Notamacropus eugenii: one gene and its partners. The protein of the gene in region 3 purifies or fractionates together with the protein of the main gene of each other region. This does not show direct contact. Links are inferred from orthologs where the notes say so. Each region holds a gene or a part of one and is shown on either strand. Other genes may lie near its edges.

What was found.
Region 1: the proteins of GDI1 (region 3) and RAB6A purify together in Homo sapiens (affinity purification with mass spectrometry; 3 studies listed by BioGRID and IntAct, counting the BioPlex papers as one, with this or other methods). This does not show direct contact. The link is inferred for Notamacropus eugenii from reciprocal best matches to the Homo sapiens genes GDI1 and RAB6A.
Region 2: the proteins of GDI1 (region 3) and RAB6B purify together in Homo sapiens (co-immunoprecipitation; 3 studies listed by BioGRID and IntAct, counting the BioPlex papers as one, with this or other methods). This does not show direct contact. The link is inferred for Notamacropus eugenii from reciprocal best matches to the Homo sapiens genes GDI1 and RAB6B.
Region 4: the proteins of GDI1 (region 3) and RAB35 purify together in Homo sapiens (affinity purification with mass spectrometry; 3 studies listed by BioGRID and IntAct, counting the BioPlex papers as one, with this or other methods). This does not show direct contact. The link is inferred for Notamacropus eugenii from reciprocal best matches to the Homo sapiens genes GDI1 and RAB35.

Annotation. Positions count from the first base shown.
Region 1 is NC_092876.1:131,569,953-131,577,098, forward strand, and holds the start of RAB6A (ras-related protein Rab-6A), read left to right. Parts: upstream 1-4,252; 5' UTR 4,253-4,438; coding exon of another isoform or gene 4,439-4,883; coding exon 4,884-4,953; intron 4,954-7,146. Other genes in the region: uncharacterized protein, read right to left, coding at 3,710-4,252, 4,439-4,885. UniProt on the Homo sapiens protein: The small GTPases Rab are key regulators of intracellular membrane trafficking, from the formation of transport vesicles to their fusion with membranes.
Region 2 is NC_092876.1:334,782,290-334,790,132, reverse strand, and holds the start of RAB6B (ras-related protein Rab-6B), read right to left. Parts: upstream 3,018-7,843; 5' UTR 2,642-3,017; coding exon 2,572-2,641; intron 1-2,571. UniProt on the Homo sapiens protein: The small GTPases Rab are key regulators of intracellular membrane trafficking, from the formation of transport vesicles to their fusion with membranes. Rabs cycle between active GTP-bound and inactive GDP-bound states.
Region 3 is NC_092879.1:9,968,947-9,976,918, reverse strand, and holds the start of GDI1 (rab GDP dissociation inhibitor alpha), read right to left. Parts: upstream 3,004-7,972; 5' UTR 2,901-3,003; coding exon 2,856-2,900; intron 1,758-2,855; coding exon 1,650-1,757; intron 1,489-1,649; coding exon 1,389-1,488; intron 1,233-1,388; coding exon 1,098-1,232; intron 1-1,097. Other genes in the region: ATP6AP1 (V-type proton ATPase subunit S1), read right to left, coding at 5,678-5,887, 7,114-7,345, 7,453-7,500. UniProt on the Homo sapiens protein: Regulates the GDP/GTP exchange reaction of most Rab proteins by inhibiting the dissociation of GDP from them, and the subsequent binding of GTP to them. Promotes the dissociation of GDP-bound Rab proteins from the membrane and inhibits their activation.
Region 4 is NC_092875.1:25,154,786-25,161,877, forward strand, and holds the start of RAB35 (ras-related protein Rab-35), read left to right. Parts: upstream 1-4,086; 5' UTR 4,087-4,221; coding exon 4,222-4,273; intron 4,274-7,092. UniProt on the Homo sapiens protein: The small GTPases Rab are key regulators of intracellular membrane trafficking, from the formation of transport vesicles to their fusion with membranes.

The DNA of each region.
Region 1 (7,146 bases), on a different chromosome or scaffold from region 3:
GCCCTCCTTCCATTTGCCCTTCCTTCTATCATTCCCCCACCCTCCTACACCCCTGCTTATCCCCTTCTTTCCTGTAATATAAGATAGATTTTCATAGCAAATTGAGTATGCATGTTACTCCCTCCTTAAGTCAAATGTGATGAGAATAAGGTTCACTTTTTCCCCTCTCACCTCCCTTCTCTTCCCTTCCATTGAAAAAGCTTTTTCTTGCTTCTTTTATGTGAGAGATAATTTGCCTCATTCTATTTTTCCCTTTCTCCTCCCAATATATTCCTCTCATACCTTAATTTTATTTTTTTAGATATCATCCCTTCCTATTCAACTTAACCTGTACCCTCTGTCTATATGTATATAATTCCTCCAATTACCCTAGTACTGAGAAAAGTTTCAAGACTTACAAATATTATCTCTCCAGTTCAACTATAGTAAGTCCCTTATGATTTGCCTTTCCTGTTTACCTTTTCATGCTTCTCTTGATTCTTGTGTTTGAAAATCAAATTTTCTATTCAGCTCTGGTATTTTCATCAAGAATGCTTGAAAGTCCTTGATTTTATTGAAAAACCATTTTTTCCCCTGAAGTATTATACTCAGTTTTGCTGGGTAGGTGATTCTTGGTTTTAGTCCTAGTTCCTTTAACTTCTGGAATATCATATTCCAAGTCCTTTGATCCCTTAATGTAGAAGCTGCTAGATCTTTTGTTATCCTGATTGTATTTCCACAACACTTGAATTGTTTCTTTCTAGCTGCTTGCAATATTTTCTCTTTGACCTGGGAGCTCTGGAATTTGTCTACAGTATTCCTAAGAGTTTTCCTTTTGGGATCTTTTTCAGGAGACGATCAGTGCATTCTTTCAATGTTTATTTTACCCTCTGGTTCTAGAATATCAGGGCAGTTTTCCTTGATAATTTCTTGAAAGATGATGTCTAGGCTTTTTTTCTGATCATGGCTTTCAGGTAGTCCCATAATTTTTAAATTGTCTGTCCTGGATCTATTTTCCAGGTCAGTTGTTTTTCCAATGAGATATTTCACATTGTCTGCTATTTTTTCATTCCTCTGGTTTTGTTTTATAATTTCTTGTTTTTTCATAGTCATTAGCTTCCATATGCTCCATTCTAATCTTTAAGGAATTATTTTCTTCAGTGAGCTTTTGGACCTCATTTTCCATCTAGACAATTCTGCTTTATAGGGCATTCTTCTCTTCATTGGCTTTTTGGATCTCTTTTTTCATTTGGGTTGGTCTATTTTTTACAGTGTTATTTTCATCAGCATTTTTTTGGGTCTCCTTAAGCAAGTGGTTGACTCGTTTTTCATAATTTTCTTGCATCACTCTCATTTCTCTTCCCAATTTTTGTTCTACTTCTCTTACTTGATTTTCAAAATTCTTTTTGAGCTCTTCCATGGCCTGAGACCAATTCATATTTTTCTTGGAGGCTTTGGATGGAGGGGTTTTGACTTTACTGTCTTTTGTTTGCATGTTTTGGTCTTCCTTATCACCAAAGTAAGATTCTATAGTCTGATTCTTTTTTCAGTTTTTGCCCATTTCCCCAGCCATTTATTTGACTTTTGAGCTTTTTGTCAAGGTTGATCTCTGCTTCCAGTGGGGGTGGGGGGTGTACTGTCAGTAGCTCGATTCCCCCACAGTCAGTGGGCCTAGAGCTCCAGAAACAGTTGCTGTCTCTGCCCCTACTGCTGGGAGTTCCTCCACCCCCTTCCCTCTCTGCTGCCCTGGGGCTGGGGCCAGATCATTCCACTCTCCCACACTGGTCCTACAGGCTTTCTCTTTTTCCACTGAACTTCCAATTTGTCCTTGGCATTTTGGGGTCTTGAAGTCTGGAAACTGTCACAGATATGAGAGACTCAGTCTCCCCAAGGCCTGCTCAGGTCCTGTCTGTGCCAGCGTGGCCCACACTGCACTGCGTCCTGCCCCCAGAGTGGTGCAATAGACACTTCTCAGCCACCTTCCAGGCTGTCTTGGGCTGGAGATTTGCTTCATTCCATCATTCTGTGGGCTCCGAAGCTCCAGAATTGGTTTAGAGTCAGTTTACTGGTATTTAGCTGGGCTTGGGAGCAGCACTCTAGAAAGTGTGTGCCGTTACTCAACCATCTTGGCTTGGCCCTGTTGTTACACTTATAACACAGAATGCCAGACCTGGAAGGACCCTTAGCCATAGTTGGGAGGGACCTTAGAACACTGAGTATGAGAGCTGTTAGGGACTTCAAAACAGAGAATGTCAGAAGTGAAAGGTGGCTTAGAACATAGAATGTCAGAGCTGGGAGAGACCTTAGAACACAGAATGTCAGAGCTGGGAAGTCCTTTATTTCAGTAATATCCAATTTAAATAGAAACAGGGGGCACACATACATATATGAGGATTTCTACGTGTCCTATATTGACTTAAGTTTTAAAATGTAATGGCATCTGTTTTGTTGTATTTTTATGTATTTTGCTAAGTATTTCCCAATTACATTTTAATGGAACTGTGATAGGCTGCTTGTGGCCTAGGACCTATGTGTTTCGACACCTCAGCTTTAGAACAAAGAATGTCAGAACTAGACCCTCTCATATTACAGAGAAATAAAGTGATGATGTTTGGTGGGGCAGCTATATGGGGAAACAGATAGAGCATTGGCCCTGGAGTCAGGAAGACTCATCTTTGAGGCCTCAGATCTTTACTAGCAGTGCCATCCTGCGCAAATCACTTAAGCCTGTTGGCCTCAGTTTCCTCATCTATAAAATGAGCTGAAGAAGGAAATGGCAAACTGCTCTATAATCTTTGCCCAGAAAACCCCAAATGGGGTCACGATGAATTGGAAAGGACTAAACAATGACAACTATATTGTTGGCACAGCTCTAGGTGCTGGGGGATGCGGTTTAGGGTTGCTGGGAACCCTGAAATGTCAGGGTGCAGAGAGGTGTCTGCCTGGAAAGAATCACACACTCACACCATCTTTTAGTCAAAATGGCAAGGTTTATTGTAACACCAAAAGTGGTGGTGAGATTCTTAGTGAATCTGCAACTTAATGGGGGGTGGGCGGGGAATGATGGTTAGGATAAAAAGGACGGTGAAAGGACAAGGATGGTGTTAGGGAGTAGTCTGAGTGATCTCGCTGAGCTTGGGTGAGCCAGATGCTTTGGTGTAGGCACCAGTGATCTGGGCTACTGAAACGTATCGGAAAATTCAGGGACTGGGTTGCTTCCAAGGGCATGGTCTGTTCCTTTTAGGGGTCCAAGTCCCATCACCCCATCACTGAGGATGCATTAAAAGGCAGTCTCCTCTTTCCGGGAACTCCGTCTGTAAAGGCAGAGACAGCGTGCAAACAATTACGTACAAACGGATTATTTGGACAGTTGTCGGGAACCTGGAGGAGGGGACCGGTGGTAGGGAGACCAGTGGAGGGGTACCAAGAGTCCAGAAGAGGTGGCTGGAGACTGAAATAGTCACTGGGGGTCTACAGCGTTTAGGAGACGGAGAGGCAGGAGAGGCTTGTGAGAAGATGGGGTGGGGGAGTCCCATGGGGAGAGGGACTGATTTTAGGGGCGCTGTGGGGAAGGGCAGCCAGAGGACAGGATGGAGTAGCTATCTCGGTCCAGAATGGGCTGGCTAGCCCAAGTAGAAAGGGAGACCCGGTGGAGCGAGGGATTTACTCTAAAGGAAAGGGTGTGGGGAATGGGATACGTAGAGTGATACCGGCGAATACTGACGTCACGCTAACGTTTGCGAGGCCAGAGCGTAGACATGCGATGCAGCGGAGGGAGGGGGGAGTGGGAGATCCTGGCGCACGTGGCCCCGGGCGCCAGGCCCTGGCTAGGCCTCTGGCGGTAACCGGCGGGGGAAGGGACGCTGCAGCCCTGCTTCTCGGCGGGGCTGGAGTCCACCTGAGATAACGCACGTGTTAAGGCGGTTGGCAAACTTCTGAATGGCAGCATTATTAGGATTATTTCCGGGGGCTGGGCGCAGACGATGGGCGGGTCGGTGGGGGGGGGCGGAGGAGGCGAGCGAGGAATCCGAGGCCCGACTCCCAGACAGCGGGGCTGGAGGTGGGGTGTCCACAGGTGGCACGCCCCCGCCGCCGTTGGAACCGTTCGGACCTCCCGCCGGTCTCGGCCAGGCCCCGCCCTCCCGCCACACTCTTCATGGCCGCCCTGGCGCGCGCCGCCGCCTCTGCCCCCGCCGGCGCTGAGCCGCTGGCTCTGCGTGTGTCCTCTGCCCTCTCCTTTCGCGCTGTCATTGGGCAAATTCACCTCGGTCACCTTCTATTGGCCCGCTGGGTGTGGCGTCAGCTTCTTCCTCCCTTGCTCCTCCTTTCCCTCCGCCCTCCGCCCTCCGCCCCGCCCCCTCCCCACGCCCGTCCACTCCTCCTCCCTTTCTCCTCGCCAGTCCCATTCTCCCCACTTTTCCACTTAGGGTCGGCGTAGGTGGCTGGCCCGGGAGCCAACGCCGAACCTGGGAAACTGGGGAGCAAGCGCGCTCCCGACCACCAGCCCCGCCCGTGCTCGCGCACGCACGCGGCACGTCACGCTGTCGCGCTCGCGCGCCTCAGCGGAGAGGCTCGCGCACTTGAGCAGGTTCGGCTGCGGCGGCGGATCTCCAGGCTCTCTGGGAAAAGGGGGCGAGGAGTGGCTGCGGCGCTGTCCGTCCCTCTGCTCCTCTCCCTCGGGTAGCTTGTGGTGCGGAAGGGCGGCGCCGACCGCCGCTCCTGTCGAGCCGTACGAGGCCGACTCCGACCCCACCCCCATCTCCTGGTCGGTCCGTCCGTCTCCACCCGCATCTTTGCAGGATCCCCCCCGCTTCCTGCCGCTCCTCCGCCCTACGTGTCTGGGCTGCGGGGAGCCCGCGGGGCCTAAGGAGATCGCTGGGTGAGGCGGCGGCCCCGGCTCCATCATGTCTGCCGGAGGGGACTTCGGGAACCCCCTGAGGAAATTCAAGCTGGTGTTCCTGGGGGAGCAGAGCGGTGAGTGCCCCCCGCTCCGGCTGCGCTGCTGCTGCCCCCGCGGCCTCCGGCCGTGCGTCTGCTGCCCGCCCCCCGCCTCTCCCTCCTCCCTTCCCGGCTTCTCCCGGGCCTGAGCTCCGCCTCGGCCCTCCGCTCCCCGACTCCTTCCCCTTCGGGCGCAGACTCCGAGGCCCTACTGTGTGCGGGTGGCTGCCAGGCCCGGGCGCCCCCGCTTCCTCCGAGTGCCGCACTCAGTCCTCCTCGGACCCCTGCCCCGTCCTTCCCCGTCTCTCCTTTCTCGGCCCTTATCGGAGTTCCAGAGTCTAGGTCTCTTCTCTGTCTCTATTTCCCTGGGCCCTCCCCTTGGGCCTGGGAGCCCGGCGCCTTTATGCGACCCGCGGAAGGTGGAGGCTGGTCGGGATCGGGTGGGATCTGGGCGTTGCCCCTTCCTCCCTCGCCCTCCTTTGGCCTTTGGAACTGAGGATCGAGTCGTCCGTGCCTGAGGATGGGGCGGGGGCTGGAACGTCTTTGGATCGCTCTCTCCCCGGGGGGTTGGAGCAAAAATCTCCTGGAATCGGCCGTGATGTCGGGGTTTTTGTAGGCGGCACTGCCCTTGGACGTGGAAGGGTTAGGCAGCGACGTGCTAAACATCTCAGAATTCTTCTCTTGACTTTCCATTTCCTCACTTAGGATTTTTGGGTAGTTTTGATTGCTTCCCCCCCCCTTCTCCCATCGCCGCCTGGTGCCTTGTCATGATCCATTTACTTGGAATTTCTCACCTTTCTTTTTCGCTTTCTCTCCTCCCGACATCAACTAGTGTCTGATTCTCCTACCCACAGGAACCCATGGATAATCATCAGTTATTTCTATTAGAGTGTTTTCCAGTTATAAATATGTTGAGGATTCTTGGGAGAGATGGTTTGGTACAAGTTCTGTTGGGGAAAAAATTAACAGCTAACTAACGTCTTTTTTGAGGGGATAGGAAGGGATGAAGAAGAGTGTCAATGATCTCGTTATTTAAATTTTAAGAAGTGATACTTAGCTGAAATTTTAAGTGGCTTAAGTCTTAAGTATTAATAATTCCACAAATAAGATTCCCTTTTGGTATTTGCCTAGGTTAGTTCTCTGAATTAGGCTACAAAGTTTTAATTTTGTAATGGTTGTCTTTAAGGTTACTATTTGTAGCAATTTGTTGTATGTCAGTTTTATAGCATTGATACCTAGTTATTTATTGGGAGATAAGAAGGATTATATATCACCTATTTCTTCATTAACCAGTTTCTCCCATTTTTATCTTTAAGAGTCAAGTTGTTGGGAAAATTAGTGTTTGCCATAGAAAAAACATGTTAATACTAAATTCAGAAATATAATTTTCGCCTACAAAAACTTCTGTAGCCCCCAAATGGATTAGCATCAGTTGAATAGTATCTGTCAAATTTTTGTACCTCATTCTATGAAACCAGTCCAGACTGTTTTTTCTTCCTTTATGTGCAAATTGTTCTTATGTAGTGAACAGAGAAAATGTTTGGCTTATAAATTTACAGGAAGCAAGTTTAGACTTGTTTTCCAGTGAGTTACCTGGTATTAGTATGTATGAAGTTCCTGATCCTGCCATTTTATAGCATTTTTAGGCTTAGTATGAGTATAAAATAACCTACTCAAGTAAATATTGATGTGTAGACTGTAAAGTGCCTCTTGTGCACTCTGAGGATGCCATTGCTTGCCTCTTGGTGTGATGCAAAGCTATTTAGTTTGCTTGAAAAAGCCATTAATTTATGTCTCTCCAAGGAAAATTTTAGCCTCAAGTGTACCTGTCTTTTTTACTATTAAAATATGAGCAGGTTTCATTTGAATTTTGGGGATGATGCTATTTTGATTCACGCTGCATATTTTAGGGCCTTAAATTCTTCAACTTAGTCTAAATTGATCATATTTTTCTTTGTAGGCTCATGTTTTTTATCTTAAAAAAATTTTAAGTTATGTGTTATTTTGAGGTGAAACTATAGCTGTTTTCAATTTAACAGGAACAATTTGGGTTCTCAAGGCACATTTGCTTTCTTCTCCTCTGTTAGCAAAAGCTTTCTGAATCCATGGTACTATTTTTGTGATGACGAATTACTTTTAAGTCTTAGAATTCCAAAATTCAGTTTCTAGTTATCCTGTTGATACATTATACTAGAGTGTGCTATGTTTCATATCATATAATAGCTCAGT
Region 2 (7,843 bases), on a different chromosome or scaffold from region 3:
CAAGTCCAGCATGCATTTTAAACTCTTCAATATTCTATGATCTAAGTAGTTTACAAAGCTTCATCCCACCCTATGGACTAGCGAAATAAGATGAAGATTTTCTTTCAAACTCAGACTAAAACACCTTATCCCTTAGGCTATTTCTGGTGCCCTATGGCTAAATATGGTCATAGAGCCATATTTAGAGATGGAAGGAACCTTAGAGGCTCCTTAGTTTAACTCCTACATTTTACAGATAAGAAAACTGAAGTCCAGGAAGGTTGACTTACCCAAGGTCATAAAAGGTAGTTGGGTAAGGATTTGAACCCACATTCCTTGATTTCAAATATCTCACTCAGGCGGTGCATTGTCTCCCTTATATATATGTCTAACACAAATGGAAATTCCCCTCCCTCCGAAAGCCTAGACCTGGGATCTCAGATGAATAGAGCAGGTCTCAAGCTGGAGAGAACCTATGCATTTACTTCCAGCGAGAGAATAAGAATGCCCAACTCAGTGAAAATGTTGTCTGGGGGATGATGAAAAATTCCACTCACAGAGCTCCTGTCCCTTGGGGCAAGTTAGAAATGTCAAGTTAGGCCCAAGGAGAAAGCACCCAAGTCTAATGAAAGGAAACAGTCTCCTGAGTTTCAGCCCCGTGCCTGTGCTCAGACGTTTAAATGCATCCAGGAGCCAGGGAGGAGAGCAGTCTCTCAGCCCTAAGGCCGCAGATCGCCACACCCACTCTCAGAGCTGTCAATGTGCTTGGTCCCTCACACAGGCACAAGATATCAAACAACGTAGCTATGAAGAAGAAATCTGGATCAGTCTAGAAGGATAAGATGTTGAGTTCTGGGAGAGGCTGGGCATGAGAGACACACCTTTCACATAGTTCATGGATGCTCTTAGCTGAAAGGGGATCACAGGCCCTATCTTGGCCAGGAGTGTGACCTATTCCATGTAAATGCAGATACACCTCCTTTCTCAGATTGAGGAACCACATTGAAAACCAAACTAAACACTCATCCTACCCATAGCTCCACTTCAGTAAGTATCATCAAAGATCAGAGATGGAAGGAAACCTAGAAGGAAAAACTAGCTTAACCTCTGAAATTTACAGATGAGGAAAGAGGCCCAGAAGGGTTAAGTTACCCAAGGTCACACAGCTAGTAGGGCCTAGGACTAGAACCTAAGGGCCCCCCGAAATCTCAGGTCAGTGCTCTTTCTACACATTCCTCTCCTACCCCTACCCCCACTACCTCTTGCTCCCTTTCTCTTGGCCTGTGACTTCTGAAACCTCCCTGGTCATTCTCCACCAGAAAATTGCCTCTTAGAGACCAAGAGCCAAATAGAGGGGCAGCCCCTCCTGTGGCATAGCAGGAAAGAGAAGCAGCAGGTTCCGCCCGTCATCCCTAGTCAGGTCTGGTAGACTGGCTGCTTCCTTCTCCTTCTCCCTCTTCCTCCCTGCCCCCTCCCCTGGAGATTTTTTTTTCTCTGTTATTTATGATGAGAGATGGCAGGAAAGAATGACACGTTCACACACTTGGTGGAAGGACCAGGGTGTGTCTCTTCTCTCCTTTCTTTGCAGAACCAAAGCGGCACAAACCTCTTGGGAGTAGTCTGACTTTCTCCACCTGATGTCCCCCCACCCCCCCAAAAAAATCCCTCTCCTCCTCCAGTCTTCCTCGGGGCACCTCTAGCGAGAAGCCTGAGAGGTAAGAAACAATCAGTCTCACCGTCATCACCTGAGGACCCCCTCCCTAGCAAATAAACACAAGACTAGAAGAGATGGCCAATACTAGAATCTTCTATGCCCAGTTTGAGGTGAGAGGCAAGGCATTAATATTGAAGCTACTTCCTCGAACCCCAGTCTCTCCAATCTTCCTGGAAGAGCAGAAGCATTAGCAAGTTTCGTGGCCCCCCCTTTTCTTTCCCTGAAACCAATTTTGACTTGGGGGGGGGGTGTTCATATTCTTCTTCTGCCTTCTGCAGCTTTCTCCCATGCCCAGAAGCAGCCACGCTTGAGATCCCGGCGGTGCCACTCGCACACTGCCCACCGTTCCACGTAGGGGCACAGTTCCAACCATCTAAGTCTCCAACACGCCGCCCTCCCCCACCTTCCCCCCAAAGCAGACGGGGTGCACCCCAGAGCCCAAGTCCTGGTGTAGGAATAAAAGGCAATCGGGCTGCCTGCCCCAAGCCCACTCCCTCCCCGGTCCGAGCAGAGCCCACCCAGTATTGCGTGCAGCACTAGCTGCCGCACTATGCAAAGCGATCGCCAGATCCGGAGCCCATTTCCAGACTCCAGCCTCAATCAGTCGCCCGGCTGAAGCATCTTCCTGCCCTCCCTCCGTCTGCCCCCACCTCCACGGCCACCCTGGTGCCCAGGGGCCACTCTAAGTGTTTTATTTCCTTTGTGTGTGGGCGGGGGGGGGGGCAGGGTAAGGTGTGGGGTGGGGATGGGGGGGGCGAGGATGAAGGGAAGGTGTGCACTACAACTGCAGGGAGGTTGAGGGATGGAAGGGAGTGGGAGAGAATCCAAAGTGGCACCAGACTTAGCCTCCAACCCTGGCAAATAAACCAGCTACTCACCGCTTTGCTCCCCCAGGAAGACCAATTTGAATTTTCTCAATGGGTTCCCAAAATCTCCTCCTGCGGACATGGTGTTGGCTCTGGGGTGTGGGAAAAGGAGGAGAAGGAGTAGGAGCGAGAGGAGGAATAGAGAGGGGAGGACTGTGAAGAGGAGGAAAGGGATGAGGAGGAGGAGGGAAGAGAGGCAGGCTACGATCCAGAAGGGGGAAGGGCTGGATGCAAGCGTCGCCGGCTCTGCAGCTTCCCCCGGTCCCCTGACTCGGGCTGCGCTGCGGAGGAAGGGGTGGAGGAGAATGCGGAGGACGACTCAGGATGCCGCCCGCGCGGGCTGCAGAGCTGGAGGGAGGGCGCGAGGTGTCGGAGCGCCGACCGTCTGAGCACAGGGCTGGGGATGCTGAGGCGGTGTGATCTCGGCGAGCCGGGGGCTGGAGCTTCTCCCCTCCCCACCTCCAGCGCCTGCGCCCTGTCGGCTCTCTCCCATCCTCTCTGATGTCATGCAGGACCGACAAGCCAATGCAGTGCTGCAGGGAGGCTTTGCCTAATGCATCTGAAAGGAGCGGGGGATGGCTGGGGTCACTGTCTCACCAGCCGCCCCTGCTGCCGCCCCTGCTAGAGGAGGCAACGCGCCCTGGACGACGGGGCGAGCAGAGTGCCCTGATCCTTCACCCCTTACCGCCTCGCTCCCACCCTCCCCCTTTGAGCCCAGAAAGGGCTAAGAGAGTGGGACAGAGATATTTATTTCCTACAATGTCAAGCTAAATCTATCTGCATTACTCCAGATCAAAGGGGAAGAAGCCCATGAATTAAACACCAATATACACCACAGCTGAGTCCATCTAGGAGAGAAAATGGAGTGAGAGAGAGAGAGAGAGAGAGAGAGAGAGAGAGAGAGAGAGAGAGAGAGAGAGAGAGAGAGAGAGAGACTGAAGGGGAGAGGTTATTCCTTCCACTCTAGACATCTCCAGCCTCCACCCTTTTCTCCACACAATGCTGAGGAAAGATAAGGTCACTAGTTAGAAGTATGCTGCACAACAGCTCCAAAACCAGAAGCAATTTTTAAAATCTAAATCTCATATAATCACTTGGAAACATGAAAAGTAGGGGATGGAGAGGGAGTGATTGCTAAAAGGTAGATAAATCCAAGAGTACTCAACTCCACCACCTGACGATGTGGCTCACACAAAATTCTACCATCTTTCAGAAAATAATTTGCGTTGGAGTTCTTGAATCTCAGAGTCCAGGGTCTGAGAGCTCCAAAGATGATCTAGTCCTCTTTCTCTTACTGCCAGACAAGAATGTTCCTAACCCTGCCTAGAGAGAAGAAATGGTGTTTGTCTTTCAAGGTCCCCAGTGGAGATTAAAATGGCTTCTTCGATTGTCCGTTCTAGTGACTGATGGGCCATCATTCCCCAGAAGATACTTCCCCCTATGACCTGAATATCTCCTCACCACCCAGTTCTTGGACGTCCTGCTTTCTCTGGAGCATGAAGCTTCCAGCAAAACAATCCAGGTTTGGGCTGACGGAATTAACAAAAGGAAGAGGAGACTCCTCTGGCAGAATTTTCTCCCATCTTAGAGTGCTTGGCCTGTTCTTTCTCAGCGTTCTTTCCAGAATATAACATAGAGATCAGTGAGCTAGAGAAAGGTCATTGAGAACAATCTTTCATCAGCTCACTGTGAGGTACCAAGCAACATCCAAGATGGACTTGAGAACAGTGCCCTGACAAGTGTTGGCTTTGATGAAATAACATTGCCACCCATCTCCCTCCTCCTGAGTCCTGTGCTTAGTGCCTCCTCAAAAGTACACAATGCTTTCAATAGTGTCCCTAGACCCTCTTATTGCCGAAGAAACACTTTTATATTTCAGTGGATCTGTGATGTCATCAATATAGGCATTCCCTCTGTCACAGCAGGTCTCTCACCTTCTGTGCCTTCTCACCTTGATACAGTTCTAGTCCATTTCTCCCAAAGATTCTCCTAAAAGAATTCCCTTAATGTGCTGTAGGTCTTCATGTGTTTTGAACCTGCTTTGTGTTACAGAATTCTTGGGCAGTCTGGTAAAGCATATCCCTTCTCAGAATGAGATGTTTTTAAATGCATAAAATAAAATGCATAGGATTACCAAGAAAACCAATTCTATGGAAATATAGTTATCAAAATGTTTTCAAAAATTAAGTTTGTGGACATTCAGGTTAAGAACTGCTCTAGACTTTTTTTTTTCACATTTCTTGGGTAACAATGGAGAACTGTTCATCTGTTGTATGCCACACATGAACATCCTGCCTTCTTGTCTGATCACACATTTTTCCAATAATATCCCTCATGGCACTTGAACAGAGATTGTCTTTGGAAATAGGTTTCAACCCACTTGCATACACCAAGCAGCTCTCTAGCTCTATAGTGAAATGAAATTTTGATTCTTTGGAGTTCATGCTGGTCCAATATTGGCAATCATGTACTATCGCCAACAGACCGTGTAGTTTGCTTGTTTATTCTATAATGATTGCTCTTTGTGTCAGGAAGCAGCTTGGATTGTTAATAGCTCTGTTCTGTTCATTTTTCACTCACTAAACTTTGTCAGCAATCATTTATTAAGAACCTACTATGTGCCGGAGAGTGTTTTAAGCACTAGACTCATTTAGTTTAAGGCTAATATCCTTTGAATACATTTTGAGAAAGCCCCTCTGATGATCTGAAGCTTGATATCATCTGCAAACAGAAGTGTCTGGAGGAATTCGCTGTCCACATGGAATCCCTCTTCTGTTTGGACATAGAGCTAAGTATTGCCTGTGACAGTGGTGAGAAACTGGTGAGTATACATTTTCCTGTGCTATGCCTCTCTTGACATACAAGAGAGTTAGGGAACAAAGTTATGTCTGTGGTGGCATTTATGAAGGAATCTTTTATGACCATAATATACACATGAGAGATTTTTGGTTGAAGGAAATTCTTTAAGGCTAAGTTTTGCTCTAGTATAGAGCAATTTTTATTGTAACCAACGAACAATAAACGTAGCAGAACCTTGTATATTTTGACCCTTTCTGTCACTTATGCTACTGTAACGTGTTCTCTTGCAGACTACCATTTGTGAAAGGCTGACTGTTCCTCTTGCATATTTTCATCAAGAATAACCTTGATATATGGTCCTCATTCTCATAAACATTTTATAAAGATGAGAAAGTAAGAATATAGGTCAGGAGTTATTGATGTTTTTTCATTCACCTATTTTGGAGAAATAATAATGTCCATGACTTTTATTCCCATTCTTTTGGTATCTTCTCCTCCCTGAGATATCTTATAAAACAATTTCTTATTGCTGTCAAGATTCTATTACTTCCAGCATGAATTTGTTTTGTGTGTACTTCTTCTGGCCTAGTTGATCTTTTCAACTTTATTTTCTAAAGTGCAATTTCAACTTTTTATATATTGTACCAGGCACCAAGATGATAGGGAACAAATATGGTGATTCTCTGTCATTGATGAAAAAGATGGTGTTATAGAAACATTGGCAGATTTCTTCCATTTTCTATTGGTTTAATATTCTCCTAATTTCATCTATCAATGCTGTTGGGATGATGTGGTTCACTTGGGTCTCACATCAGGCTTTCTAATAGAGAATAATTTTCACTTTCATGGCTTTTCTTTGCTTTATGAGGGGGGAAAACATCAATAAAAGATTTGAGAATTATGATACACACCATGACTTGAAAGTTGGAGCAGTATGCTTCCCATCTTCTGTCAAGAAGGTGGTGGACTATAAGTATAGAAAAAGGCATATATTTTTCAGACATTGCCATTGTGTTAATTACTTTTGTTTAATTAAATTTTTGTTACAAGAGATGATTCTAATGGGGGGGGCATGTTGTATGAGGGAGTAATAATTGGGAAGTCACAGTAATGAAAGAAAAAGGAGCATGAGTAAAGTATTTCTTTTTTAAAAGAAGCATAAGGAATGTCATCAAGGAGAAATATCTATAAAAGAAGCCATGCTGGTCATGTTGTTCTAGTTCAGGATAATAGATAGATCATCTGAGTTCTATATTGTACCATCTAAATGTAGAAAGACTTACAGGATGTGTTCAGCATATTGACAGGAATCTCTGAGGAAGGATCATGGAAGAATGTGGATAAGAATTCCACAGGACCAGAAGTCACAGATGTTTTGTGGTCTGTACCACAGATCCAATACCAATACTTCCATCAATGAGATATTTCTATTGAATTATTGAAGAAGGTGTCAATGATTTCATAGGTTATCCTGCTTCTAGAGGAATTATTTTTTTTAAAGAGGAAGACAGATTGACCCAAACGAACACATATGTAATGGTAGAATTTCAGCAACCAGGTGGGAGAACTGTTTAGAGGTAAAGAAGGGGAGAGAACTTTTCAGCAAACCAAAATCACAATACCTACTCTTCAAGTTGATTCTTTATCTTCACTTGCATCAAATACTGTGTTCAGTTCTAGGTACTATTTTAGGATAATAATAAGTTGGAATAAATCCAGGAGAGGATAGATTGATAGACAGATAGGTAGATAGGTGATAGATAGATAGATAGATAGATAGATAGATAGATAGATAGATAGACATAGAGATCTCCTTCCTCTCACTGAGCAATTAAAAAATTAAATATAATACTCTTAGAACAAATGCATAATATATTCCAACAAAAGAAACTCCCACATTATTCATGTCAAAAATGTCTTACCTACATTTTAAGTCCATCACCTCTCTGGCAGGAGACGAATGGCATCTTTCATCTTTAGCCCTTTGAACCTGTGGTTTCTCTTTGCATTGATTAGGGTTCTAAAGTCTTTCACAATTGTTTTTCTCTATAATGTGTGATTATGTTCTATTTATGTTCATTTCTTTCTTCATCATTTTGTACAAGTCGTCCTAGGTTCCTCTGAAACTCTCATCCATCATTTCTTATATTACAGTAGTATCCTAACATATTCATATTTTGCTTAGCCATTCCCCAGTTGATGGGAACCTTCTTATTTTCCAGTTCTTCGCCATGAGAAGGGTTGCTATAAATATCTTTATACATATAAGATCTTTTCTTCTTGCTTTAATTTCCTTAGGGTATAGCCCAGTAGTCACATAGCTAGGTCAAAGGATATGGCCGGCTTAATATCTTTATGGGCATAACTCCAAATTGCTTCCAGAATGGCTGGGTCAATTCACAGCTTCAGTAACAGTGCATCAGTGTGCCTGTCTTCTTGCGGCCCATCCAACATTTGTCATTTTCTTCATGTGTCACCTTTGCCC
Region 3 (7,972 bases):
CACTGCTAAAAAGCAGAAGGCTCCAGGGCCAGTCTTATTCTGCTAGTCACTGTGTGATTTCCAGGCCTTAGTTTCCTAATTTATAACTCCTCCCCTTCCCCACTACCATGGGAGGTAGTCTACTCAACACTGCAGTGAGTCCTAATGTTGGGCACAGCTGACCTGACTAGGGATCAAAGGAGAGAGTGCCTTACAAACACCTAGTACTTCTATGACAAACTGAGTCCCTGCCTTGAACCTTATATATGCTGGGTCAGGGACCTGTATTGATAATTAAATCAACTCTAACCCTATCTCTCTCTTCCCCTCTTTCATCACGACCTCTGGAACCCTCAATTCCACTGTTAACAAACTATTAGACCTCTGTCCCCCCTCCCCGGAATTACTTGGTCATTTCTGTTTCTGTCTAGGGCACCCCTATCCTCTTCAAAGTCTTCAAAGACACTATGATCTCCAATTCTCACTCTTCATTACCTCACAAAGCCAATCACTGGCCTAAACTTGCTGTTTCTAGCCCTATAACCCTCTCACGTCTAGGCCCTCATCACCTCATCTAGATGATAGCCTCCTACTCAGTCTCTTGGCCAAGATAATCTTAATTAAGCAAGGTCTGACCATATCATTCCCCTGCCGAACTGCAATGGCTTCCCCGTTGCCTCTAGAATACAAGTTTGGCTTTCAAGTCCTATATGGCTTGGCCCCAGTTTACCTCATCAATCAACTAACAATGCTGAGAACTCCAAACTGGTCTCCTCACGGCCATCTTTTGTATCCTTGTGCCTTTACACACATATAACCTTTCCTGATCCCTCCCAAATTCTAAGGGCTAGCCTTCTGCCCTAAATTCCCTTGTATTTATTCTGTATACAGTGTGCTTCTGATACTGCTGGCTTAACGGCCCAGGAAAGCATTCACATCTAAACCTGAGTTGTGTCAATGGGCAAGCTCTGCCTATGACTCCCTAATATGCCCCTGGCTTCTCCCCAGTGTCCTGGACAATTCACTTTCCCCACCAGTATCATGAAACCAGTCTCAGAGGTGTGACGCTCTCTCCTTCAGTCCTGATAACTGGAATAAAAAACGATGGTGACACTCACTGGAGGCCAAGGCCTCAGTCTCAGTAGATGGCACCTTGTAGATCTTGCCCCCCTTGTAGACAAAGCTGCCTTCCACCACTTTGAAGTCTAGGTAACGAGTCACTTCGGTGTACAGCAACATCTTCACCAACTGGCCTGTGGGTAGTATGGGGAGAGGAAGAGAGACATCTCCATATGTATAACCCTTTCCCATTCACTTGATGGTCCTCAAGCCCTTTCCCCAAATTCTGCCCCCCCCCCCCCCCACATCCTACCTATATCACCTACCACCAGCTATATCCTCCCACTCACCATTGGCCATGAGGAATTTGGGGATCAAGTCAACATTCCAGTCTCGACCCCTGCCCAAGCTTTCAGGAGGTCCTTCAGGCAGGTCAAACCGTTTGAACAGCTACAAGCAGGGAGAGACAGAGAAGAGGAAAAGGGAGGATTCAATCAATGTTGACCTCACCTCCAAAACCTGCCTGTAGAGACTTCCAAGAGCTGATCAGGCGTGGAAGTCAGACTATAAAGGACAATGGAGCCTGGGAAAAATGGAGCAGGTCACCTCACCTCTTCCAGGGGTGTGATAGAGGAGCTTTCACCCCCATAGTAAGGATTGCGATCCATGTGCAACACTTTCTTCCCGTTCACAGACATGATGCCAGAGAGAATACATTCCTGGAGGGGAAGACCGGCAAGGAAGACAGGAAAAAGAATGTGAATAGACCCTCTCCCCAAACCAGAATAGAAATCTCAGCAGATTCCTTTACCTTAAGACTGAAGGGGAGGAGAGGCGGAAGAGAGCCCCTCCCCTTCTCCCAACCAGACACACAAAAGGTTGGAGAGGTAGGTTTCCATCCTTCTGCTAAACTCTTCATGGCGCAGCTATTAAGGGGAAGGCCATTTGGGCTCCAAAGTGAAGGCAAGCAGTGGAGAAACAACTCCCCCTTTTCCTGACCCTGACATCCTATTCCAGGAAGCAATAAGAATGTCGACAAACACAGCTACACAGAGCACAGGTGCAATTGGAAGCAGAGAAACGCCGTATCGCAAGGGCCCTACCCTAGGCCTTCTCTTCCTGGTCTTGAGGCACACGGAGAACTCCATTTCTCCCACTCTCAAGTAATCTCCCACAAGATCAGCGCATCTTTATGTGGTAGGGACACAGCAACCCTGCCCATGCCTTCAGGCCACCATCTTGTATGTGACTAGATCTAGAGCTGGGAGGTACTAATTTTACAGATGGGGAAAATACCGAAGAAGGAGGAAAATAATGAATAGAAGGCCGAGGAAAATGACTAACCAGGGTCACACAACTATTACACGTCAGATGCGTTTATCCATTACAGGGTTAATGAGCACACCATGCCTGTCCTGTCTCTCACCCCCACCCAGAGGAAGGGAAAGGATTATTTCAGTCCCCTATCCTGTGGTTAGGATACTACCGTCCAGAGGGTTTGATATACCCTTATCATCTTGGGGATTGTGGTGATGGGGTATGGATACTCTGTGGTCCTGTGGGTAGGGCTCCAAGAAAACGGGGAGGACTATCTGTGAATCTTAGGGTTGGCGTTAAAGAGGGTAGCCCTGATTGGGAGGAGACTGAAAGGAAGGCATATTGGGATCCCACGCCACTGGGGCCACACACAGAGGGGAAGAAAGGTCATGATGGGGATGGGTTGAAAAGGTGGGGGGAGGGGAAGAAGGGGGGAACCTTTTAGGTTGGGGGGGCGGGGTGCTGCATTCTCGTCGGGGTTCCTGTCGGTCCCTACTCACCGTGAGGCCCGTGCCCAGCACGATCACGTCGTACTCCTCGTCCATGGTTCTGCTCGAAGGCCTCGGCTGGTCTCCGCTTTCCGGCTTCGCCGACGCCGCTGCTGCCGCTGCTGCTGCTGCTGCCACCGCCGCCGCTGAAATGGACCAAAGATGGCGGACTCAGCACCGCCTTTCCTCCAGCTCCCTCCGCTGTGCCAAAGAGTCCCGACTCTTCCGCGCTGCCGACGCCGCCCTGTCACCCCGTGGACCACGCCCGACTACGAACGTGGCCGAGAGACTTGCAGAATGCTGGGGCAAGGGGCTACGATGTGCCTGCCTCGACTGTGGGAATTCCTTCATTGAGAGGGAGGGGGAGGGGAGGGACAGAGGCCCGTGAGGAGACCAAGAGAGGGATCCATCCGCACCCCTTCCCGCATCTTCTGCCCGCATCTTCCTACCCACGGAGATGCTGTGGGGAGGGGCTGTCCCCAGGAGGGAGAACCCGAGAGAAGGAACTGCGCTGGGGAGGGGGGGAGGGGGGGAGATGAAAATGAGGGAACGCCTCGGGGGAGAAGACCCCGCCTCTAACAGGCTGTCAAGAGTAGGGTCAAGGAAAGCGCCCTTGTCCCCATCACAGCATGCAGATGGGGGGCGCGAATCTCTTGGGGGCGCAGGTGCCAGGCGGGGGAGGGGAGGCTGCTCCAGGCCTGGGTGGGGCATATTCACAGAAGCCTCAGTCTTCTGCAGGAGAGGTTATAGCCGCTATCTCCAGCACCCCGCACCCTCCTCCCATGACTCAGCTTTGTCTTTTCCCATCCTGTCCCCTCAAATCCCTAAGGGGCAAATCTAGGCTGCAGACCTACCAGCCAAAGGGAGCTTTGAAGGGCCAAGAAATTCTCCTTTCAGCCTCCCTAACACCCCCAATCTTCATGCCCAAACCCCATCAATGAACTATTTGCCCTGCCTCTCTTCCCAGGAATGGGAGAGGTGGCACAGGTTCTCTATCTTTGCATCTGGAATCCTCGGAATCATGGTTTGAAATGCACAAAATATTACAAAAGAAACCCATTATAGCTAATAAATATAATTGTTTTTATCCCATCCAATTTTAAAAGGCTTCCAGAATTGTATCAATGACCCCAGGTGAAGAACCCTTGTTTTGCCTCCACTCCTGTAACCTGTGGGCAACTAAGTGGTGCAATGGATAGAGCACTGAGCTTGGAAACAGAAATATATCTTCCTGATGTCAAATCCAGTCTCAGATACTGGTGGTGTGACCCTGGGCAAGTCACTGTTTGCTTCAGTTCTTCATCTATACAATGAGCTGGAGAAGGAAATGGCAAACCAATCCAATATCTTTGCCAAGAAAACCCCAAATGGGATGGTGAAAAGTCAGACACTGAACAACAAGGGATAACACACTGGTGACTTCCTCAGCAATGCCTAGGCCAAATGATCTGTCCTCTTGAAGCAAAGCTGTCATGGAGGCTTAGTTAACATGTTATTTCAATTTCTTTTCACATCCAATTTTAGCCCCACCAAAAAACTAGAAGACAAAATAATCAAGTTTCAAGCCCACACCCTCTCCCCACCATGAGTTCCCTTCTTTGTTTGTCCTTCGTTCTCAAAGGGGACCATGACATCAGGAAGGTGATGTCATGACTTGGATTTAAGTGTGGGAGGGCTGTACAAAGTCACTAGCCTCAATCTCCTCCATAGCCATCTGGGTAGAGTGGCAAGGTATAAATCAGGGCTGGAGACACAGTGGGAGACTTTGGCCTTTTGAAGCTAAGGCCTTTCCCAGGTCGAAGTTTGACTGAGGTAACACTCATTTAGTGATTAAGGCTAGGTAACAAATGAGGCCAAGAATGGCCTCTTTCACTTAGTCAAAACCAAACCAAACCAAAAATCACTCAGGGAAGGGAAGAGCTTCACGGTTTCTGGCCAAAACAGAAACAATTACTATATACACTGCATCAAAGCCCAATGACCAAAAGAGGCTTGGGCTGGGACCTATTGTTGGCCAATTAATGAGAACCAAAGTGATTTGGGTTTAAGGTATGGTCCATAAAAAAAGAAATCTAGCCCACAAACCCCAAGGTATCTTGCTAGTTTCAGCTATCAAAATTTATATTCCTTTGGGCAGAGTACCTGCAGAAAAGGCTGATACCCTATGTGGATAGAGGGAGAGGAGGAAGAAATCCACACATAACCACTGGTGAACTCCCTGATCTCTGTCCTTTTAAAGCAAAGCCCTGCTTAATACAAAATGACCACACTGTCTTGGAGGCTTAGTTAAAATTTTATTTCAATTTCTTATCACATCCAACTTTAGCATCACCAAAAAAGAAAAAGACAAAACAAGAAGCAAACAAGACAATGTAACAAGTCTCAAGTTCACACCCCCACCCCACTTGGAGTTACCTTCCAACCTCCGGACTACATTTTGACTAATCCCCAGAATACATCTCACACAATGAAGCAGCTAGACCTGAGGGCAGGGATTTAGGGAGAATAAATAAGGATTGGAAGCCAGCAGGAAGGAAAGTGGCCTGGATACTCCTTCCCCACCCCCCCACCCCCTCCATTGGTGCACTGCCTACAAGGTTTTCACTGAGGGTATTTGTCAGAGGCAGACACTTTTTTGTTTCCACGGACAGGGTAGGGTAACCACAGGTTCTGGGATAATTGGGGGTGGAGCAAGAGGAAATAGGGGTAGGGAGGCCTAGCTACTAAGGAAGCACAAATGAGTAGTAGCCTGGCAGCCCTTCCAAGGGGAGGAGGCAAAGTCAACACAAAACTCCACCTCCAACCCTTCTGGCCCCCCCATGTGACTAAAGGGGTCACTCCATCAGGGGCACAGAGAGAGTGCTCCCCTTGTGATCATCAAAGCGATCCATGGTCTTGAGGTTGAGGATCATGTGCAGACCGTAGGTGAAGATGAAAAGCATGATGAGAGAGGAGACTAGCCCCATCCAGATGCCAGGGGAGAAGAAGCTGGCACAGTCACTGGCATAGGAGAAGTTTCCACCAGATAAGTTAAAGGCCTGAATCTGAAAAGGAAGAAAGAAAATTAAGACAAGAAACCAAACACTGGTTTGGTCTGGTCTATGAAATCCAAAAGGAATTGTGCAGGGGAAATCGCCCTCTCCTCTCCTATCCCACCCACCAGAGCCAGGGTCCAGCAGAATGTTTCTGGAGTAGGTAGGAAGGTGGGTAGACCCAAGAACTGGAGAGGTTTTTAATATCCCTGAGTATCTTAATTAGGCTATTTGATGGATAGTCAGGAAGAAACGTATGAACACTCCTTGCTCAGCTAAATTCTGTCCCACTGTGGCCATCATTTACCAATCTGTCTCTCTTTGAGGTTCTCCATGAAGCTACACCACCCTAACTCTATACCTCCCTCTTCTTTCCTAGAGTTCAGCCTTCCTCTCCACCCTAAACTCTGATTTTATAAGCTTAAAGTCTTCATGCGACATTAGCTTCCGTGATAACTTGTACTACACACACACCTCTCTCTCTCATTCCTAAATGTTCTATTTAATGATCTAGGACTCAAATTCCTCTCAGCCTACAAGCTCCTCTTCTTGTACCTTACTTACAACCCCTCCCTTTATCTAGCCTTCATCTTCAACTTGATTTCAGGGCATTCCATTTCTTCCGGCTTTCTCACCGCATCACCATCTACCTCTGTTCTGGTCTCACCTTCTTCCCTCATTTATTCAATTTAACTGTGTTCCTCTCTGCCCTCAAATCTCTTACCCCTTCCTTGTCCTATCACTATCATGACTTTCCAAATTCCAACCCTAGATTAATCTCACTCTTCCATCCCACCCCCATCTACTCTCTCCAATCCTAACAGGGCTGAGTTTACTTCAGTTTCACGTTCTTGAATTTCAGTTGAGTTCTCCCTACCAAACAGCACTCCTTTGATTCTCCCTAAACTGACTCACTTCCACCATTTTCTCCATCTTTCATCCCTTAGCAGAGCACCTCATGCATCATTTTTAAAGTGAAAATCGATGCCATCCATTGTGAACTTCCTTATACTCCTTAATTCCACACATACTCAAATCCCCTCATCACCCTCCCTAATCTCCCTCCCCTTGGCCCAGTCTGTGATGAAAACACGGCCCTTCTCACCAAAGCCAATCCTTCTATTTGTGCCCTTGATTCCTTCCCCTCTGGGGGCTTTCTTCAACTGGGAATGTTAGTAATTCCTCCCTCACCGAAACAGAACATGTACTCCCCACCTCCTGTGCTCCTTTCATCCTACCTGGAAATTCTGGAAAGTCACATGCCAGGCAGAGGAACCAGGTGAAGATATTAGGAGACCTGCTTTTGAACGTTCAGTGCTAACATACTGGCAGTGAAAGGAATAGATGCTAGGTGCTGTGACATGTGAGGAATTGAAGACCACAACCGAGTTGTTGTTGTGGATCTCTAGTCGATCCATGATGAACCAGCTTCGGGCTGAAACAGGGTAGAAATGGCTGCTCAGAATAAACCTGGGAGAGAAAGTCAGATGATCAGTGGAAACTCCAAAGACTGCCCAAAGCTTTCTTCACCAACCCCTTTAACCTCCTCCCCACCCCCCTGCCACCCCAGCACTTACTTGATTGTCAGAAGTGGGCCAAAGAGGTTTTCATATGTCAGCGCAAGCCTAGGAAAACAGAGGAAAGAAAGGGCTGCTCAGCTTTACCATCCTTGGTTGTCAAAGGGAATCTCTACCACATAGACTATTCCCAAAGTGCTCAGTGCCACTGAGATTGAAGGTTTCCTATGGTTCTCAATGTGTAGGCAAGAATTTAATCAAGCTCACTCACACACACAAGCTGAGAATGGAGCTGAAGCTTGGACCCAGGCTTCAAAACTCCCAAGTCATAGTTCTAACTCCCACTGGCCCCACCCTCTTGTTCAAAGAATATGTGTGAAGACAGTGGCCACTTAGGGCCTAGAAGAGGAGTCCCCAATAAAGCCCTTAAAAAAGGGAACAATGATAAAAGAAAATACACAAAAATCTATATACTCCCTCCATCCAGGATAGATTGAAAGCACAGCATATAAATAAGTAGCGTGGACCAAGAGAAGAAAGAGCGGGGCTATCTGGGAAGCAAAGCACCAGGTATCAAGCA
Region 4 (7,092 bases), on a different chromosome or scaffold from region 3:
CCAGAACTGTAAGTGATGTATGACACTATTTCTATTTTTATAGGAGCTATTAGTTAGCAGTGACCTCAGGCAGTAAGGAGAGGCAGAGAAGTCTGGCTCTGGTGAAGTAGAATGAGTCAGGCAAGGCGCTGGGTCAGTGGTATTTCCTTAGGGAAGGAAGGAGCTCTGACCGGGGAAGCACCTCTCACGTAAGGGGCAGAAAGCTGGGGACAATTTCTGAAAAGGGCAGAGAGGGATGACTTAACAATTTTGTCTACAACCACAAGGTCATACCACTTGTGGATGAGGATGAGCCACAGGGTGCACAAGATACAGTTTCCTGCCTTGTCTCCTCCTTCTACAACCCAGCTTTTATACAAGTGCCAAATAATCTCCCTAATGCATAAGTCTGACTACATCACTTTCTCTTGCTCAAAAACCTTTGATGACTCCCTGTTCCCTGATGTGCCTCCTCCTCTCCCCCATAAAATACCAACTCATTAGCCTGCCCTTCCAGGCCCTCCACAATCTGATTCCAAACTACCTTTCCAGTACAGTCTCATTACTCTCCTTTCAGTTACAAACTCTACACTACGTTTCTTTCCATTGTACATTTGCACAAACTTTTACGCAGGCCCAGATGCCTTCTCTCCTCACAGGCGTGTCTTTGAACGCTGGTCCTTCCTCAAGGTTCAGCTCTTTGACGTCTTCCCTGTTATTTGCCTTCTCCAATTTTCTGGAGCACTTTACCTTTTCCCGATCTCTTCTTTGCTCCTACCACACTCTACTTTGCACATGTGCATATGCACCCCACTAAGTCCTCCTCCAACTTCTAATTCCTTATTACTTGTGTAATTAATTTAACCTTTCTCGGTCTGTTTTCTCATGTGTAAAATAAGGGGGCAGAACTAGTTGGCCTGGAGGTTTAAAAGAACCTAGAATACCTAGGTGCTCTCTCTTAGTCCCATCTCAGAATTCTGACGCTTATCCTGGAATGGAGGTAGCTTTAGGTTCTACATTCTCTGCCAAGAGAGAACAAACTCTAGCAGGTCCTACCAGGCTACAGAAGCTTCTGAGATATACCTACTGATGGTTGTTGCCTGAAAACTAGCTCAGCTGACCCTGGAGAGACTCATCAGGTGGAGTTAGGGTTCTGAAAGTTTGGCTACTAAAGTGTAGAATGATTGCAATCCGTATTAGTGGGGTGAGTACTCACATTGTTTAAATGCTATATAAAGCCTAAATCCTTTAGGTTACCAAAAAATCTGGTAACCTAGCACTAAAGAGCTGGTGCTAGAAAGGACCTTTGAGGTTATGGAGTGAGTAGCAAAGCCAAGACTGAGGCCAGGTCCTGATTCCAAATTCACTGCTTTTTACAAGGCATGTCACCTCTCAGATAACAGTGGCTTGTGTTTCTATCCCTCTTGGAGGTTGTAAACTTCCTCATAACCCAGAGAAAGTAAGACAAGTATAATTATTACTTTAAAGACTTTTATTTATATCTTTTGTTTTTACATCATCTAGATTTCCCTATATTTCTCCTCCTTCCCAGAGAGTCATTCATTAAAGAATTTTTAAAAAGTGAAAAACAAATGCATGAAAATTCATGGTACTATATTTAATGTTCCAAACCTATCGACACCTTCCCTCCCCACCCTCCGAGCAAAAGAGCGGGAAGGTTTCTTCTCGTATCTCCTCTTTTGGGCTGAGCTGCTTCTTTGTAGCTCAGCAATATTCAATTCTATTGAATTCTATTTTGTGGGTATCATTTTTGTTTACCTTGTAGACATTGTGCATATTGTTTCCTTAGCTCTGGTTACTTCACTGTGCATCAGTTCATGTAAATCTTTCCACACTTTTTATTCATCACAAAATGGATATATACTTTGTTTCTAATTCTTTGCTACCCCTAAAAGTGTTACTATTTTGGTGTATGAAATATGAAGTCTTTTAACAGGCAATAATTTCTGTATCAAAACGCAGAGTCGCTTTAGTCACTTTATTTGCACCATTCCAATTTCCTTTTCAGAAAGGTTGCGCTAATTCACGTCTCCATCAACAACGGAATAGTGCTCTTATCTTTACAAACACTCTAAAACAGACAATTCCCATCTTTCCTCACCTTTGTAGGCCAAGTATTACTTCCATCTTAGAGATGAGGAAAATAAGGCCCAGAGAAGTGAGACAAAAAAGTCTAAAAACTGCCTCAAGCAGATTTTGAAGTTTCAGGCATAGAGTACTGGGGGTGGGGTCAGGAAGACCTGAGTTCAAATCCTGCCTTGGACACTTAATAGCTGTGTGATCCTGGGCAAGTCACTCAACTGGTTTGCCTAAGTTTCCTCATTTGTAAAATGGGGATAAGCACTATTTGCTTCAGAGTGGCAAAGCCACATAAACTTTATGGGGACAGAGGGGCCTGGTCACTCCTGGGCAGTAACCCCCAAGGTTTTGTGAGTATCAAATGAGATACTTGTAAAGTGCTTACCACTGCGCCTGCCACACAGTAGGCACTATATAAACGCTAGTTATTATTTTAGGATGAGAATCGTGCCAATTCTCCTTTATCAATCAAAATTTGTTAAGCAGGCAGTGTCCTCAATGCTGTGAAAACAAAGAAAATGAAATAATCTCTCTTCTCTAGGTGCTTTTATGCTAGCAGAGGAAACTCTTATCTAAGTAGTCACACACATATATGCAGTCACAAGCAGTATATATGCGCATGTAAAAAAGAGACCAAATGAGAGGTTACCCAGGGAGGGAGGGTGGCCAGTGCTGGACCTGCATCTTCTGGCCATGGTCCACGGGAGAGGCCACTCTGGCTGAGGCATGGAGCAGGGGAAAGGGAGTTTCAGGCCTGGGTGGTAACAACCCTGAAGCTGGTGGTATGCCCAGACTCATGTCAGGGGCAGAGAGCAGGCCTGGAATTCACAGTTCTAGCCTATTTTCTCTGATTCTGAACTAAGATCCCACCGTCTTTGGCCTCTTTTTTCTAGTTAATTAACAATCACTTATTAATTAATAAGATTTGATAATCCATAAGTTATTAATTAAGTAATTAGTAAAAGAAGCCAGTGGTGCTCTACTAAGCCAAAGACCTGTCCGCGGCGTCTTTTTCTGAGTAATTAACAATCATTAATTAATGAATAAGATCTGATAATCAATAACAACCAGTTATTAATTAATCAGTAAAAGAAGACAGGGGCGCTCTCCCAAGTCAAAGTCCCATCTCCTGCATACAGCAGGCGCTTAATAAAGGTTACCTAGCTGATCCTAAGCCAGGGCTCGCCCCCGCTCACCCGGCACCTTTCCGAAACACTGGGTAGGGGAGAGGGGAAGGAAGTGGAGCCGCAAGCGCTGGGTTCGAGTCCTCCCTCGGTCCAGGGCGGCGGCAGACGGGTCGGCCCCACTCCAGGTTCCGCGGCCTCTCAAACTCTCGGGGTCCGCAAAGAGGGGACACTGCGGCACCTACCTCGTGGGGTGGCCGGGACGCTGCAGGGAGGAGAGGAGCTACAGAGGTGCCTGCTATCGGCGCACGAGGAAGCCCTCCGGCCCTTCCCGCCCGCGGCCACCGCGTCTGGCCTCGGCCCGGAGGTGGGTACTAGCCCGAAGGGAGGAAGAGCAGCGCGCGAAAGGCCTCCTCTCCACGCCTGCGCACCGCGCGAGGGCGGTGCGATGGGCCCGTCACGCATGCGCAGTAACGGAGCAGCCCGTCCTAGAGGCGGTGGCTGCGGCTGCGGCTGCGCAGAGCCCGTCGCAGGGAGTGAGGGGAGCGGGGGAGGCGGGGCGGCGGCGTTAGCGGCAGCGGTGGCGGCGTCCGTTCGCCCAGAGCCGGACGGACCGAGAGAGGAGGGTGGGGGTGGGTGGGTGGGGGAAAGTCAGGCGCCTGCGCAAAAGCGAGTGAGGGCGGGATTGTGCCTGGAGCGCGTGCGCAGAAGTGGGCGAGGGCGGGGCGGTGCCGCAGGCGCGTGCGCAGTGGCGACGAACGGGGCGGGGCGGGAAGCCGGGAGGCTAGGAGGGAGGGCGTGGGGGCGGGGGGGGCGAGGGGCGGAGGGAGGCGTTTCTGTCAGTTCCGGCTGTTTGTTCGGGAAGTGGATCCGCCGGGGCCCGGAGCTGCCGCGGCTCGCCAGGCCCACCCGCCCGCCGCCCGCCGCCCGCCCCCGCCCTGCGGCCCTCCCTCCCTCCCTTCCTCCCTCCCTCCTCTCCGGCCCGCCCGGCCTGGCCCGGCCCGGCCCGCCGCCCGCCATGGCCCGGGACTACGACCATCTCTTCAAGCTGCTCATCATCGGCGACAGCGGTGAGCGAGGGGCCAGGGCGGCGGCCGGGCCCGGACCCCTGGGCGGGAGGGAGGGAGGGCGGTGCCCGGGGGAGGGGACGGTCGGGGGAGGGGCGCGCGGCCGAGCGGGGCCGGGGCGCCGGCCCCCGTGACCCCGTCCGCAGGGGAGGGCAGAGGCCGTGGGAAGCCGTGACCTCGGCCTGGGCTGGGGGGCGGGGCGGGTGACCCCGGGTTGGGGAGCGGTTGCGGAGGCCCGTGACCCCTTTCCGGAGAGGAGGGTGGAAGAGGGCAGGGGTCGTTGGGGCGGCGACCCCGGCCCGGAAAGGGAGGCTGCGGGCAGGGATTGGGGATTGGGGCGCGGTGAGGATCGGGCACGATTTGGGGGGAGCAGGGGGGTGTGTGTGTCTGTCGGGGCTCCAGTGTTGGCGCTGTGGATGGGGAGGGGGGAGGAGAGCCCTGGGGGGTCGTCCCCGACTTGTGACCTTGCTGAAGGCGCTTTTCCCACGCCCTTCCCTCCCTCCCTCCTCGCCCCCCTCCCCCAAAGGAAGCAGGGGAGGTGGGCTGAGCACCACACACCAAGGACCCGAGCGATCATGCAGTCACTCAGGAAACTGAGGCCGGGAGGAGCGATTTGTCCAGTTTGCAAGTGACAAGAGTGGGATTTGAACCCAGGCCCCGGGCTCCAAGTGTAGCCACTTTCCCGGGCACTTGTGCAGAGATGGAGCCCTGCTGGGTTTCTGTTTCAGCGGGGCAGGTTCCTCTGAGGGCTGCAGAGGGGCCCTTCGTGTGGTTCGGGTGGGGAGCCCAAGGGTGAAAAGGGTCACGGGGTGACGGGGTCAGAAGGGCTGAGGAGGGCAGTGTGGCAGGTGTTCGAGGATTAGGAGGAAAGGGGAGGAGGCTTGGGAGCATGGCAGCTCTAGGCGATGGTCAGGGCCCAGTGTGGAAGAGGCTGTCATGTGATTGGTGGCAGAAGCAAGGTTGAAAGTGGAGCATATTGGGTGTTATAAAAAGCTTATGTTGGGGATGGTGCCGGGAGGATGAAAGGATTTAACAAAATTGGTTATAGACTGAGGCAGTAGGGGACAAGGGAGTAAGTCTGTTGTGGGGAGGGAGCCGGGAGAGCAGTGCTACCTGGTTGTTGGGATGGATATGGGCTGGTGCAGTGGTTTGGATAGGTCAAACAGTGGTGAGCTTTTATGGGCACAGTTGGAAAGTGAAAGGCAAGATCTCTTTGAGGTTTAGGGGATTAAAAAGATAGAGGCTGCTGGGGCTGAGGGATCCTTTCCTCGGTTTCTCTTTTTTCCTTCCTGAGTAGAATATAATTATGCTGCCTTTCTTTTGAAGATGAGTGGCCTTTAGAATTTATTTGTATACTCAGTGCACCATATGCCTTTTCAGGGGTTATATTTTAGTTCCAGATGGGGCAAAGGAATGGGGAAAGGCAGAGTTCTACGACTGAAGGTGATTTCCCTTTCCAAAGAATTAGTGTACTCAGTTGTTGTGGTTATGGGCCTTGTTCCTCAGGAGGACATCTGGATTTTGAGTGGAAAGGCTTGTTGTACTTTGAGATCTTAAAATGAAAAGCTGACTCGTAAATCTGATTCCCCCCCCTTTCTAAAGTCCAGGAAGTAGTTTTGACCTTGTTTCCCACAATACTTCTTGACATTGTGTGTGGTGTGTGGTAGGCCTCTTTAGGTCATGATTTATGTAGTTTTGCTCATATAACAGTCTATGAACATTTTCTGGCCAAGGTGTGTGGAAGTGGAAGTAAGAGAAGTTCTGGTCTGGCTTTGTGTGTAGTGACTTGTGTTGTGGGGCCTCTGGTGCTCCTCAGCCCTGAGCATGTTTGGGAGGGGAGGCTGAATGTGAGTAGCCTAACTTCACACATTATTCTGGTCTGAGAGGCCCTAAATTGTCTGCAGAGTTGGGGCTGGGAGCATTAACTGACCAGGGAGCTCATTCCCTCCACACAGACTTAAGCTCTTCATGCCTCAAGTGCAGTACTGCTCCTTTGAGGGTGTCTTAGTTTAGACTCTGAATTAAGAATGCTACATTTGGGATTTACCAGGGCATGGTGGCCACTGACCACTCCCATCCTTCAATTTGCAGTGTAGATTAACTGCTCAAACCACAGGAAAGCATCAACTGCCAAGATGTGTAGTCTCAGAAGCTTGCTCTGCTAATGTCAGTTGTGAGGGCTATGGTCAGTTGGTTTCACACCAGCTGTTGTTGACCTTTTATTTTCTCTGTGGCTAAGGTAAATTGGTACCTTCACTTCCTTCCTTTGGCAGGGAGCTGTTGGATAAATGGTGTTTACTCGAGGCCTTCCTTTGAGGAGTTCAGGAGGAGCTCTCTCTCCCAGTAGAGTGCTTTCCTTCCTAATCGAGTCTCCAGTGTGGTGTCAGGAGTAACGATTAACTCCAGGGGCCTCGGGTTTTGTTCTGCTTGTGGCCTCTGCTTTGGCAGTGTGGGGATCATAAGAAAGCTTGGGATCTGGCCATAGTACTGGGATTTTCTGAGAGTCAGACCCTCCTAGCTTCTGCTGAATGAGCTAGCTAGAGATTGTGGGAGAGGGGAGGAAGCTAACAAGACAGCTGGGCCTTGGGCAGAGCCTATTGGGAGACCCAGCCCAGGAGCCTTGCAAGGGCTGCTCACAGCAGGAAACTTCTCCGAGTCTGGGAGGATCTGAGATTTCAACGAGGAAGTGACCAAGCTCTAGGCTTCAGGCCGAAGGGCTGAGCCACAGGTACTCTGGGTGTAGCATTTGAGAGGTTGTTCTTTTCTTCCTTGATTATGCTGGCTAGCACCCCTTTGGGATGCTGGGTCAGTGTGATATTAGT